Canis lupus familiaris: one gene and its partners. The protein of the gene in region 1 purifies or fractionates together with the protein of each later gene. This does not show direct contact. Links are inferred from orthologs where the notes say so. Each region holds a gene or a part of one and is shown in the gene's direction. Other genes may lie near its edges.

The links.
Region 2: the proteins of STX5 (region 1) and SEC22B purify together in Homo sapiens (co-immunoprecipitation; 4 studies listed by BioGRID and IntAct, counting the BioPlex papers as one, with this or other methods). This does not show direct contact. The link is inferred for Canis lupus familiaris from reciprocal best matches to the Homo sapiens genes STX5 and SEC22B.
Region 3: the proteins of STX5 (region 1) and YKT6 purify together in Homo sapiens (affinity purification with mass spectrometry; 3 studies listed by BioGRID and IntAct, with this or other methods). This does not show direct contact. The link is inferred for Canis lupus familiaris from reciprocal best matches to the Homo sapiens genes STX5 and YKT6.

What each region holds. Positions count from the first base shown.
Region 1 is NC_049239.1:54,380,756-54,384,502, forward strand, and holds the start of STX5 (syntaxin-5), read left to right. Parts: upstream 1-1,481; 5' UTR 1,482-1,496; coding exon 1,497-1,724; intron 1,725-1,934; exon of another isoform or gene 1,935-2,089; intron 2,090-2,410; exon of another isoform or gene 2,411-2,429; coding exon of another isoform or gene 2,430-2,654; intron 2,655-3,747. Other genes in the region: WDR74 (WD repeat-containing protein 74), read left to right, coding at 1-105, 189-245, 537-707; testis-expressed protein 54-like, read left to right, coding at 900-960, 1,084-1,283. UniProt on the Homo sapiens protein: Mediates endoplasmic reticulum to Golgi transport.
Region 2 is NC_049238.1:57,690,955-57,694,601, reverse strand, and holds part of SEC22B (vesicle-trafficking protein SEC22b), read left to right. Parts: intron 1-2,457; coding exon 2,458-2,618; intron 2,619-3,647. UniProt on the Homo sapiens protein: SNARE involved in targeting and fusion of ER-derived transport vesicles with the Golgi complex as well as Golgi-derived retrograde transport vesicles with the ER.
Region 3 is NC_049237.1:14,336,028-14,339,630, reverse strand, and holds part of YKT6 (synaptobrevin homolog YKT6), read left to right. Parts: intron 1-911; coding exon 912-1,012; intron 1,013-2,064; coding exon 2,065-2,169; intron 2,170-2,461; coding exon 2,462-2,527; intron 2,528-3,603. UniProt on the Homo sapiens protein: Vesicular soluble NSF attachment protein receptor (v-SNARE) mediating vesicle docking and fusion to a specific acceptor cellular compartment. Functions in endoplasmic reticulum to Golgi transport; as part of a SNARE complex composed of GOSR1, GOSR2 and STX5.

The sequences.
Region 1 (3,747 bases):
CGAGGATTACAGTGCCACCCTTCAAAGCCCCTCCTAGCCTCCTGTGGCTTGGACAGAGTCTTGAGGATACACAGGATCCAGAATCCACGGGGCCTGGAGCATAAGGTGAGAGCTGGTTGCCTCGTGTGTCCCCATCCAGGTTTTTGTTTCAGTGTGCTTGCCTCCCTAAGGCTCCTGATCTTTTGTAGGTTTATCTCAAGTCTCAACTGAACTGCCTTCTTCTGTCAGGCAGGGATAACTGGGAGGTAAGCAGCTGGTCTGTGGGAGTAAGGACACAGGTGTGAGCATTTCCCTGGGGAGAGAAAAAAAAAAAAACAGTGGCTGGAACTGTCTCCTTGTCTGCCAAGTTACTGAAGTTCTCTGAGGAGTGTTAATAGTTATATTCCTGATAGGGTTACTGCCGAGGGTTGACATAGCATGGATGGGAATAGTGTCTGGCAGCAGGAAATAAAAGCGATTATTTCCCAGCTGGATCCTTCTTCCCTGTGTATCTGTTTCTGTGTCCCTGACTCCTCTAACCTTTCTCCCCCTGCCAGGATGAGCCCCAAGAGGCCAAAAAGGCACCACCGGAAGACACAGAGACAGATGAACTTTGGGCCTCCTTGGAGGCAGCTGCCAAGCGGACGCTCCCTGATTCGGAGCAGACCCAAGGGGCTCTCCAAACCAGACGGAGAAAAAAGCAGCGGCCTGGGTCCACCAGCGCCTGAAGAGCCTATGCTCACTTTGTAAATAAACAGCTCAACACCCGCCATGACCCTGAGCCTTTTGTGATGGGAGAAAGGAAAGAGGGGTGGCTGCTCCCTACACTGGTGCAGTAGGATATCTGACGTCACAAAAGCCAGGCCCGGGAGCCTGGTGGGTTGGCGTGGGTGGCACGGAGTTGGGGGCCGCTCGGGGCCATGGGCTGCTGCCAAGACAAGGACTTCCAGACGGATGAGCCGGCCTCGGAGGAAGTCGAAGGTGGGACCCAAGACACACCAACGGGCCCCAGGGAACGGGAGAAGGGGTTGCTCTGACAGGACCGCCCAGGAGGTTGAACCCCGGAGGGCAAAGCAGAGCTCAGCGGCTTTATCATCTCCGCAGGCTCTGAAGAGGTCCACATGGGCCCGCCCGACCACCGGAATCAGAGGTCGAATGAAAGCCTCCTGATCACTGTGCTGTGGCGGCGGCTATCCCTGTTCAGCCGTCGGGGCTCAAGCAAGAGACAATCCGCCCAGAGTCAAAAGCAGGGATTGCAGGAGAGCAACCAGGAGGGGATCCTGGAGGAGCCGGAGAAGGGGTGACCCCAGCCCTGCTCTCAGTCTGCCCCAGCCTCCAGAGAATAAAGTTTCTAACGTGTACCTGCCCAGTACAAGCGCCCCTGCTGCCCGTTTTGCGGATGGCTTTTGGGCACCGCAGGGGCTGCGGGCTCTTTAAGGCTCCTCTGCTGAGATTGGCCCAGCCCCCTGGGCTCCGGCCCTGGCTCCTCGGGGGCGGGGTCGCGGGCGGCCTAGCCAATGGGAGGGCGGAGTCGCTCCGGCGTTTGGTGGGAGGGCGTGTCTCTCGGTCGCCGGGCTCCGAGAGGCGTAGCGCCGCCCTCCCGTCACCGGGGGTGGGGCTACGTGTGGGTGACGTGGCGGCTCCTAGTCTTTGGTCGGATTTCGGCGGATTCGGCGCTCGGGGAGGAGGCGGTGACCACCCAGGAGACTGTGGCAGTGGTGGCGGCGGCAGGCGGCAGAGAGGAGGTAGGACTCGCTCCAGAAGGGGCCTGGCTGCCGTGTCCGCTCCGGGCAGCGGCTTTCCGGGGGCGGTGACGTGAAGGGGGAAGGGAACCTGGGGCGAGCGGGCTAGTCTTGCCGGCCGGGCTCGGGGTGAGGGAATACTTCGCCGTCCAATCAGGAAAGCCCCTGTTGAGAAAGACGTCGGCATTAGCCAATCACTGGTTGCAGTCCCCCAGGAGGCGGGACTTGGGCGGGGGAGGAACTTCCTGTTTCAAATAAACACCCAGAGATTTCCCCCCCCTCCGCCTACCGAAGTGTGTCCCCCTCAGGAGGCCGGTCACCGTTTCTCCCTGAGGAGTCGAAGGGATCTGCGGATACGAGAGGGCCCGGTTAGGACCTAGGGCAGTTGCACAGGGCGGGCTGGAGCCTCGGGGCCCCGGGACCTGCCTCTGGCCCCGTCTCGGCTTCAAGGCCCCCGGCCCCGCGCTCTGGCCGCCCGAGCCAAGTTGGAAGAGTCTGAGGAGCTGGACCGGCTGGGCCAGAGAGCGGGGCCCTGCCCGCCGCCGTGGGCCGGGCCCAGAATTTGCGGGTGGCTTTTGGGCGCGAAAGTCCGTGCCAAGTGCAGAAGGGGCCCAAGGATTTGCGGTGGGGACGGGGGATTTGTGGGGAAGGAGGCCACCTGGGGAATGACACTCTGCCCTCCACAACAGTCCGAGGTTATGCGTCTCAATGATCCCGCGGAAACGCTACGGGTCTAAGAACACGGATCAGGGTGTCTACCTGGGTCTCTCAAAGACACAGGTCCTGTCCCCTGCAACTGCTGGCAGTAGCAGCAGCGACATCGCCCCTCTGCCCCCCCCAGTGGCCCTGGTCCCTCCCCCTCCCAACACCATGTCCTGCCGAGATCGGACCCAGGAGTTCCTGTCTGCCTGCAAGTCCCTGCAGAGCCGTCAGGTAAGGACCAGGAGTGGGAAAGGCAGGAGTGAGCCTTACTGAAATCTAGGAGAGGCTGTGCTCCAGCACTGTTGATTGACATGATGGAGAACTGATCTGGCTTAGAGGGGGCAGTAGGATCTACTAAGCAACAGAAAAGGGGTGGATCAGCTGTCTAGGAGCAAGGACTTACGCTGTTTTGTGAGAAATTACCCCAGAGGGTAGCCTTGCTACTCTGGAAGGAGTATCTCAGGATGAAAGGTGGCTGCGGTATATTTGATTTGGATAAGAAAGAGGTTCTAGAGAGAGCCTTTAGCTCAGAGACAGACACTTTGAATTCTAGTTCTGGAATAGTCCCATCATAAGTTTGCTCTGTGGCCACAGGGAAGTTAGTCTAGTTGGGCCTCAGGGTTTTTTGGGTGTGTGGGGTTTTGTTTGTTTGTTTGTTTTAAAGTAGGCTCCTGTCCAGTGCCGAGCCCAACACAAGGCTTGAACTCCTGACCTGGAGATCAAGACTGGAACTGAGAGCAGGAGTCAGAGGCTTAGCCAACTGAGCCACCAGGCACCCCTGGGCCTCGGTTTTTATATCTATAGAATGAAAAGAGCTTTCTCAATAAGTAATTTTTATCAAAATTACTTTAGAGTGCTTTTTTTTTTTTTTAATTAGATTCCCTTTTTTCAGTCCAGACGTCCTAATCAAAGTGGGACCTGAGTGACTTTAGATAATAGATAATTACTTTAGTAATTTTAGATATTTTTATTGCTCAGCACTTAACAGCCGCTCTTCCGTATGATCTCCAAGAGCTTTCTAGTTATCCTCTTTGATTTCCTGATTGGAGGAATAGAATGGCAATAGTGCTTATCACTTATTTAGGGCTTACAACGTATGGGGTATCTGACTAAAATACTCTATAGTCCTATGTTGTGTGATCTTACCAACAAGAATAGGTGTGTGGATTTTCTTCATCTTATACAAAAGGAAAAGAGATTCAGAATGGTTTAAGGCACTTACCCCAAACCTCCCAGCTGATAAATGGTGGAGTCAAGATTTGAACCTTGGTCTACCCATGTTCAAATCTGAGTTCTAAATGACTGCTACTGATAAGATTAGACT
Region 2 (3,647 bases), on another chromosome or scaffold:
TTAGTATGTCAAGTTTGAGGGTGATAAAACAGGAAGGATTAGAAAAAGAGAACAAGAAGGTCAAAGGAAAATAAGATAGGATTAGCTGAATAATCCTTATTACTATTTTAGGAACTGAGGCTAAGATAATAGACCTGGGAGGGACCTGCTGTGTTTAACTTGAAAGGCAAAAAAAAAAAAAAAACCCTCCTCCACCCATCAGAAACAAACAAGTATACAAAACCAAAATCAAAACAAAACCCTGGTTTATTGGTTAAGAAAGTAGTGGATATTAAGTTTTATAAGGTATTAATTTGTATAGTATATGTAACATTTTTCTATAAATCTAATTTTAACATCCAAAAATAATCTAGGCACCCAATTATATAGGTATGGTATCTTTATCTCTACCATGGGTTAGGAACAAAAAACCTAGGGAAGTTCTAGTGGAATTGAAAAGAAATTTTTTTCTTCTGTGTGGTTTGCTTTAGGAACTTTATAATCTCATCTCATCTGTTATTTCCATCAAAGGACTATTTATTAAAGATCTATTTTTTGCCAGACCGTATGTTAAGTTCTGCCTTTAACATCCATAGCTCTTATGAGCTTATCTTAGTAGCAGAGAGAAACACATATTCAGACAACTAAACTATGATACCGCAGGGCAAGAAGTGCTATAATTCAGTTAAATTAAACTGAGTAGAAGGAAGGAAGCATTAAATTTCCATTTGTAGGGAATACATTTGAGACAAGGGGATAGAGCGAGGGACAATACAGAGAAATTTCATGGAAAAAATTATAGTAGAATCAAGCATATGAAAATGAACAAAAGTTTCTCCAGGTACATCAAAGAATATTACAGTTAGAAATATATATGTAGTGCTTGCTTTGGCAGCACACATACTAAAAATTAGAAATATATATTTATATATAAGCAGAAGTCCATGAGGATATAAAAGAACGTAAGTTTGGAGAACAGCATGATATAATGTGACCTACACCTGTTGTGGAGGCCACAAGTATTATATCAAGGAGTATGATTTTATTTTATAAGAATTAGGGAACCGGGATCCCTGGGTGGCGCAGCGGTTTGGTGCCTGCCTTTGGCCCAGGGCGCGATCCTGGAGACCCGGGATCGAATCCCACGTCAGGCTCCCGGTGCATGGAGCCTGCTTCTCCCTCTGCCTGTGTCTCTGCCTCTCTCTCTCTCACTGTGTGCCTATCATAAATAAATAAACTTAAAAAAAAAAAAAAAGAATTAGGGAACCCTCAGAATTTTTAAGCAGGATAATACAGTCATATTTACTCTTTAGGAATAACACTGGTAATTTAGAAGATGGTCTGGGAGCAGTTGATTCAGATGCCCAAGCAAGAGATAGGACAGCAGTCTCACCATCGTCATCATCATCATCATCATCATCATTTTAAGGGGCCCGAGAGATTATATAATACACTCTAAACTGCTCTGTGGAGTCCTAGGATGTGTAAGGAGCCTCATAGTAAGAGTAGGGATTGGGGTATATATAGTACTTTGGGCCCTTACACTCCACTTAAACTGATGACCTTCTGATTTTATTTGATGTACATACTGGGTCTTCTGAATATAATTATTGCTGAAATAAAAAGAATACTAAAGCTAAAAAGACATTTGAAAATCACTGAGTAACCTAACTTCTTTCCAATACCTCTCAGACATGTAGTTATATAATTCCTTCCAGAATGCCAGAGAGCTCACGCTCATAAGAGGAAGTCAGTTCTGTTATTGGATAGTTTCTGATATTGGATAGTTGATATAGAGTTCTATCCTGGAAGTTAGGGAATATTATTTGTCCTAAGGTCATTATCTGTACTCAGTAAACATTGTAGCATTAACTTCCAAATTCTAAGTATCCACAACAACTTCCAGTTCCCCTGTTTTTCTTGTAACTGGGAGGAGTTTAAATATGTGTATACCAGGGGCTGCTGGGTGGCTTAATCAGTTAAGCATCTGCCTTTGTCTCAGGTCATGATCCTGGGATTGAGCCCCACATTGGGCTCCCAGCTCTGTGGGGAGTCACTTCTCCCTCTCCCTGCTTATGTTCTCTGTCTCTCTCAAATATGTAAAATCTAAAAAAACAAAAAAAATACATACGCACACACACACGCACAGTTGTTTTCATACATAATCAAAAGATAGATGGAGTCACAACTCTGTTTTCAAGAAAAAGTCGTAGGTATTAAGATATTTTACTGAATTATAAACAATTATAATAAACATGTTTAGATACTCCTTTTGGAATATAATTCTAATAATGGGACATTGTTTGCTTTCTGATTCTAAGCATTTGTGGTTTGAAGTTGATTTTTTGACTTAGCTAGCCTCAAAGGGCTTAGGCTAGAATATTTTCAAAAGTTTGTAAAGCACTGAAAGTCTGCTTCAAGTTGTTGGGGGTATTGTTATTTTACAGACAACTTTTTCTTGTTTTTTTGTCTCTCCAGCTACATTATTGAGCAGGGAGTTTGTTATTTGGTTTTGTGTGAAGCTGCCTTCCCTAAGAAATTGGCTTTTGCCTACCTGGAAGATTTGCACTCAGAGTTTGATGAACAGCATGGGAAGAAGGTGCCCACTGTGTCTAGGCCCTATTCCTTTATTGAGTTCGGTAAGTTTTTGCTCTTTATATCAAGAGAGCAAACGATAAGAAGAAGCTGTTTGTTACATTGATAATAATTTTGTCACTTTTTTTCCCTGATGTTTTCTTACTGAAGTTTTGGATTCTGTCTCTTCCATTTCATCTCTTTTTGTCTTTTGAATGAATGAGACTTTTTCTCCTAAGTAATTTTCTCTGGTCTTTTGATTTTCTTAGAACTTGTTGCCATTTGATCTTTTTTATGATTGATTTGATTAGTCATCAGAACTATTCCCAAAGATCTGCTTGACTGGTGTATAGTAGCTGAGCCCACCCCCTGCCCTGCCCAGTAAGGTTCATTTTCTGGAGATCAGAATTTGGAAATCAGAAAGAAGGTATTTTGTTTCTTGTAGATCCTCTAATTAAAAAAAAAAACAAAAACAAAACTGGAAGAGGTATGGTATTACGGGTGGATAACATTTATTACATGCAGAAATAGTGAGCGTGGATGTCCATCCATGTATGTACAATAATTACGGAAAGATTCATCATCAGTAAAGCATCTAATGTTAAGAAATCAAAGGAAATGTCTTGGGTACCCTAAGTAGAGAAGTGAGAGTATGTATGATTAGACTACATTACTGATATTTTTAGTTAAAAAAGAAATGCATTTTACTGTATCCGAATTTCTGAAGTGTTTCCAGTTTGCTTGATAAATGGTCATCTTACTTTTAGAAATAAAATTTAGCAAAATACTCCAGTGTTTCATAATAAACTCTTCAAGTGCCAATTTTTATAATGTCTGCTTTTTCAGGTTTTATTTTTAAAGATAATAAGGGTCCAGTAAACCCAAGAAAAAAAATAAAATAAGACTACTATATCAAGATCACACAGGGAATAGTTGGTACACTCAAATTAGCTTAAAGAATTATATACAAAGATGAATGGGGTATAGGTGAACTACAAGGTACTGTAATCTGAGATCAGTAACAGTGTAATTGTTTTCATCCCTAGGCCTGAGGGGATAAGAGAAAGGAGCAGTTTCTAGAACTGCAAAGGAGA
Region 3 (3,603 bases), on another chromosome or scaffold:
TGGTTGTGGGGAGTGTGTGTGCTTGGGCTGCACGCTTGAGCCTTGCTTGCTTGGGATCGTAGACAGAGTCCAGAGGGCAGCGGTGGCCCTGCTTTTGTCCATCGCTGCCCTAGTCTGACATGAGCTCGCGGTCTCTCCATCTCCCCGTTTCTCCAGCTTTAGCATCAGGCTCTTCTGCGTGAGTGTTGTCCGAACAAGAAGGTTCTTATTTGTTAGGTGTAATCCTTAGGTTCTTTTTTCCATGAGGGAACGATTAGCTGTATCCTGTCTGGATTATTTTGAAAGGGACAAAAATTCATAGCAGGAATGGTGACTGTTTTTCAGAAGCACTCATACACTCTCTGCCTTTAGATAACTCAGTGACTTTCACACAGCAATGCTGGAGAACATTTGTTTGCAGATGGACCTTCTCTCCTCTCTTTTTCCTTGTTCTCTCCCTCCCTCACCTCCCCAGCCCACCACAGCAGGGGACGGGCCAGGATTGCTGTAAGAAGGAAACCTGATGTCCCGATTTCCTGATGCGAGGCCAGGCCACTCTCATTTTGTACTCGTCTGGGGTCTCCTTGGCTCGAGAACAGGCCAGAGCATCAGAGGTGCAACCCCCTAGACAGAGCTGAGCCTTGCTGGGGCTCCAGGATCTAACTGGGAAATGTGCCTGGAATTGCATCCCCTGGGAGGTTTCCTGCACCCCTGGGGCTCCTTTACACCCTGGCTTTGCACACAGGGTCTCTGGGCATTGACTTGTCTGAAGCGGTTGTTGGGCCGTGCTGGTGGCAGCACTCCCTCCCGTGCTGTCCTGTGTGAGTCTCGCTGACCCACAGGGCAAGAGCTCAGCATTGTGACACTTTGATGATCAGGGTGAAATGGCCAAAACTCTCACTTCCCCTTCCGCGTGTCTATCCTCTCCTTAGAATACCTGTGCCACGTCTATGTGCGAAACGACAGTCTGGCAGGAGTGGTCATTGCTGACAGCGAATATCCATCCCGGGTGGCCTTTACCTTGCTGGAGAAGGTGAGTTTGCGCTGTGGCCAAGCGGGCCTTGGATGGACAGGTGTGGGCAGAGCGCGAGGTATAAGGGAGGGAGTAGTGTATTAGTGTGTCTAAAATCAACCTATTTTCAGTTTTTTTCTTGCCCTAAACCAGGAGACGGTCTGGGATCCCTTCCCCATTTCCTTCACTGGCTCTGATTTCTGCCCCTCATCCTGCTTGTGTCTGGGACAGGCCCTCGGGTCACCTGTGGCTGCACTTTCAGCCCTGGCTGCTGCTCTGGCCACTGTTCTGCTTCTGCCCTCCGAGCCACAGCCAACGCTGTGCTCTGTCTTGTGGCGACCACCCTCCGTCAGGTCATCCCTGCACACCCCGGGTGTTCCTGTCCCCCACATGGGGCCGGCACCAGCACCAGCACGGGGCTTAGTGCCTCCATGCTCTTCAGTTCTTTGAGGGGTGCTTGTCATAAACCCCTCGAGGATGCTGGCCCCTGCTGCCCCCAAGCACTGACACCCATAAGCACATGAAATCTGCTGGTTGCTTAAATCCAAAAAATCTTGCTCCATTTTTGAAGAATTGTTCTGGGAAATGAGAGGGCCAGTACTTTCTTTTCTAGAATCATGTGACCTAATAAAAGGGGAAATATGTAGCTTAAAATTTTGATACTTTTATTTTCCAGACAAGGTTCATTTCAGTTTAGATATACTTGGTGCTTAATTTCCAGAGATTTTATTTTTTATTTTTATTTTTTTAAAGATTTTATTTATTCATGAGAGAAAGAGAGAGAGAGAGAGAGTCACAGAGAACATAGGCTGAAGGAGAAGCAGGCTCCCCACAAGGAGCCCAATGTGGGACTCAGTCCTGGATCCCAGGATCAGGGCCTGAGCCAAAGGCAGATGCTCAACTGCTGAGCCATCCAGGCGTCCCAATTTCCATAGATTTTAAATACTTGAACTTAGATTTGCCCCTGGCCATGAGCCATCCTCCTCTTCCCTCCACCCATGGCCCTGACTGCCTCTCTTGAGCAAGGTGTTCTTCAGGTCTCGCGGATACTGATGTGTCCCTTTGTCCTGCAGGTTCTAGACGAATTCTCCAAGCAGGTGGACAGGATAGAGTGGCCTATCGGGTCCCCTGCCAGCATCCACTACACCGCCCTAGATGGCCACCTGAGTCGATACCAGGTAGGGTGTACAGAAGCCTCCAGGAGAGGCTGTGTGGTACAGCAAAGCCAGCAGCCCTGGAGGTCATGGCTGTGGGGGAACTTCCTGGCAGCCTTAGTGTCGGTGTCGCTGTGAAACATGCAGGGATGCACGTAAGACCTGGAACCGAGCTCCGTGATGGGCTTTCCCTTCTCTGCCATGTGTTTGAGCAGCCTGTGGTCTGTGAACGTGGCCACATGTCCGGTTTGTTTGGTTTGAGCTTTGTCTCCAGGTGGTCACTCTCCTCCTGATGTTACTTTTGGCTCTTTCCTAGAACCCCCGAGAAGCTGACCCCATGACTAAAGTGCAGGCTGAGCTGGACGAGACCAAAATCATTCTGGTGAGCAGGAGCAGGGGCGAGCGCATCCTAGAGCCAGGAGTGGGGGTGGAAATCTCAGCCAGCCACTGGGCACACAGTCTGGGCTTGGGGGAGCCCTCATGCCAGCGCTAGGCTGAGAGGGGTGGTGCCCACCTCTTCCTGAGTGTCCGAGGCCTCAGAGCCAGACCACCTAGACGCCTCCAGGTCTGTGCTGCTTGCACCCATCTGAGTTCAACACCTGTTGCCCAAGGGCCTCAGCCGAGACCTTGTTGTGGCCCCTGATCTCTCCCTGTTCTGGGCGGTTACCAGTCGTGATGGTTTCTGATCCGTGGCTCTGCTTCCCTGCCATTCCTGCTGCCTCCCTCACAGGGTGTGGGCTGTGGGGGCGGGAGAAGCCGCCCCTACTCACTAAACACAGACCTAGGGTCCTCAGGCCTGAGGAGAGTGGGAGCCCCCTGTCGTACCTGAGCACTCTGCTGGTCTGTAGCTGCTGCTTTAGCTTCCGTCCCTCCCCTCCCCCACCTCTCTCCCTCCCCCCCACTTCCTTTCTCCCCCCACCCCCCTTTCACTTGGAGCCGTCTTTTCACATTTGCCCAGTGTGTCTGCACCGTAGCCACCCCTCTGTGGCTCTTCTGCTTACCGTCCATCAGTAGCCCTCAGGAAAGCTGTGGGGTCCAGTGCACACTCCCTGGCACAGCCTCAGGGTCTCGTGGCCTCTTCCTTTCCTGCTTGGCTCCCGTGCAAGTGCCCCAGGAACAGGCCTCCTGGACGCCCCTGCATGGTCTTAGCCAGCACCCATGACTCCCTGACTGCCAGGCATATGAGCCCTCAGGACCAAGAGCTTGTCCCTACCCACCCTGTTCCTGGTGCGATGGTGGATGTGTGGGATGCCAGTGCCCAGCAGCTAATGAACCTTAAGTGGGTAGATAGCTCCACAAAGGTGCCCGGAAAAACCCTGCTCGACGTGAAACTCCTGCTGACTCAGGCTTGGTCCTCATGCTCAGCACTGTGTCCCAGGGTCGGATGCCAGCCTGGGTGGCACCAGGAAGCACATTACATAGAAACTGGTGGGGGGGCTGCAGGCATCGAGCTCTAAT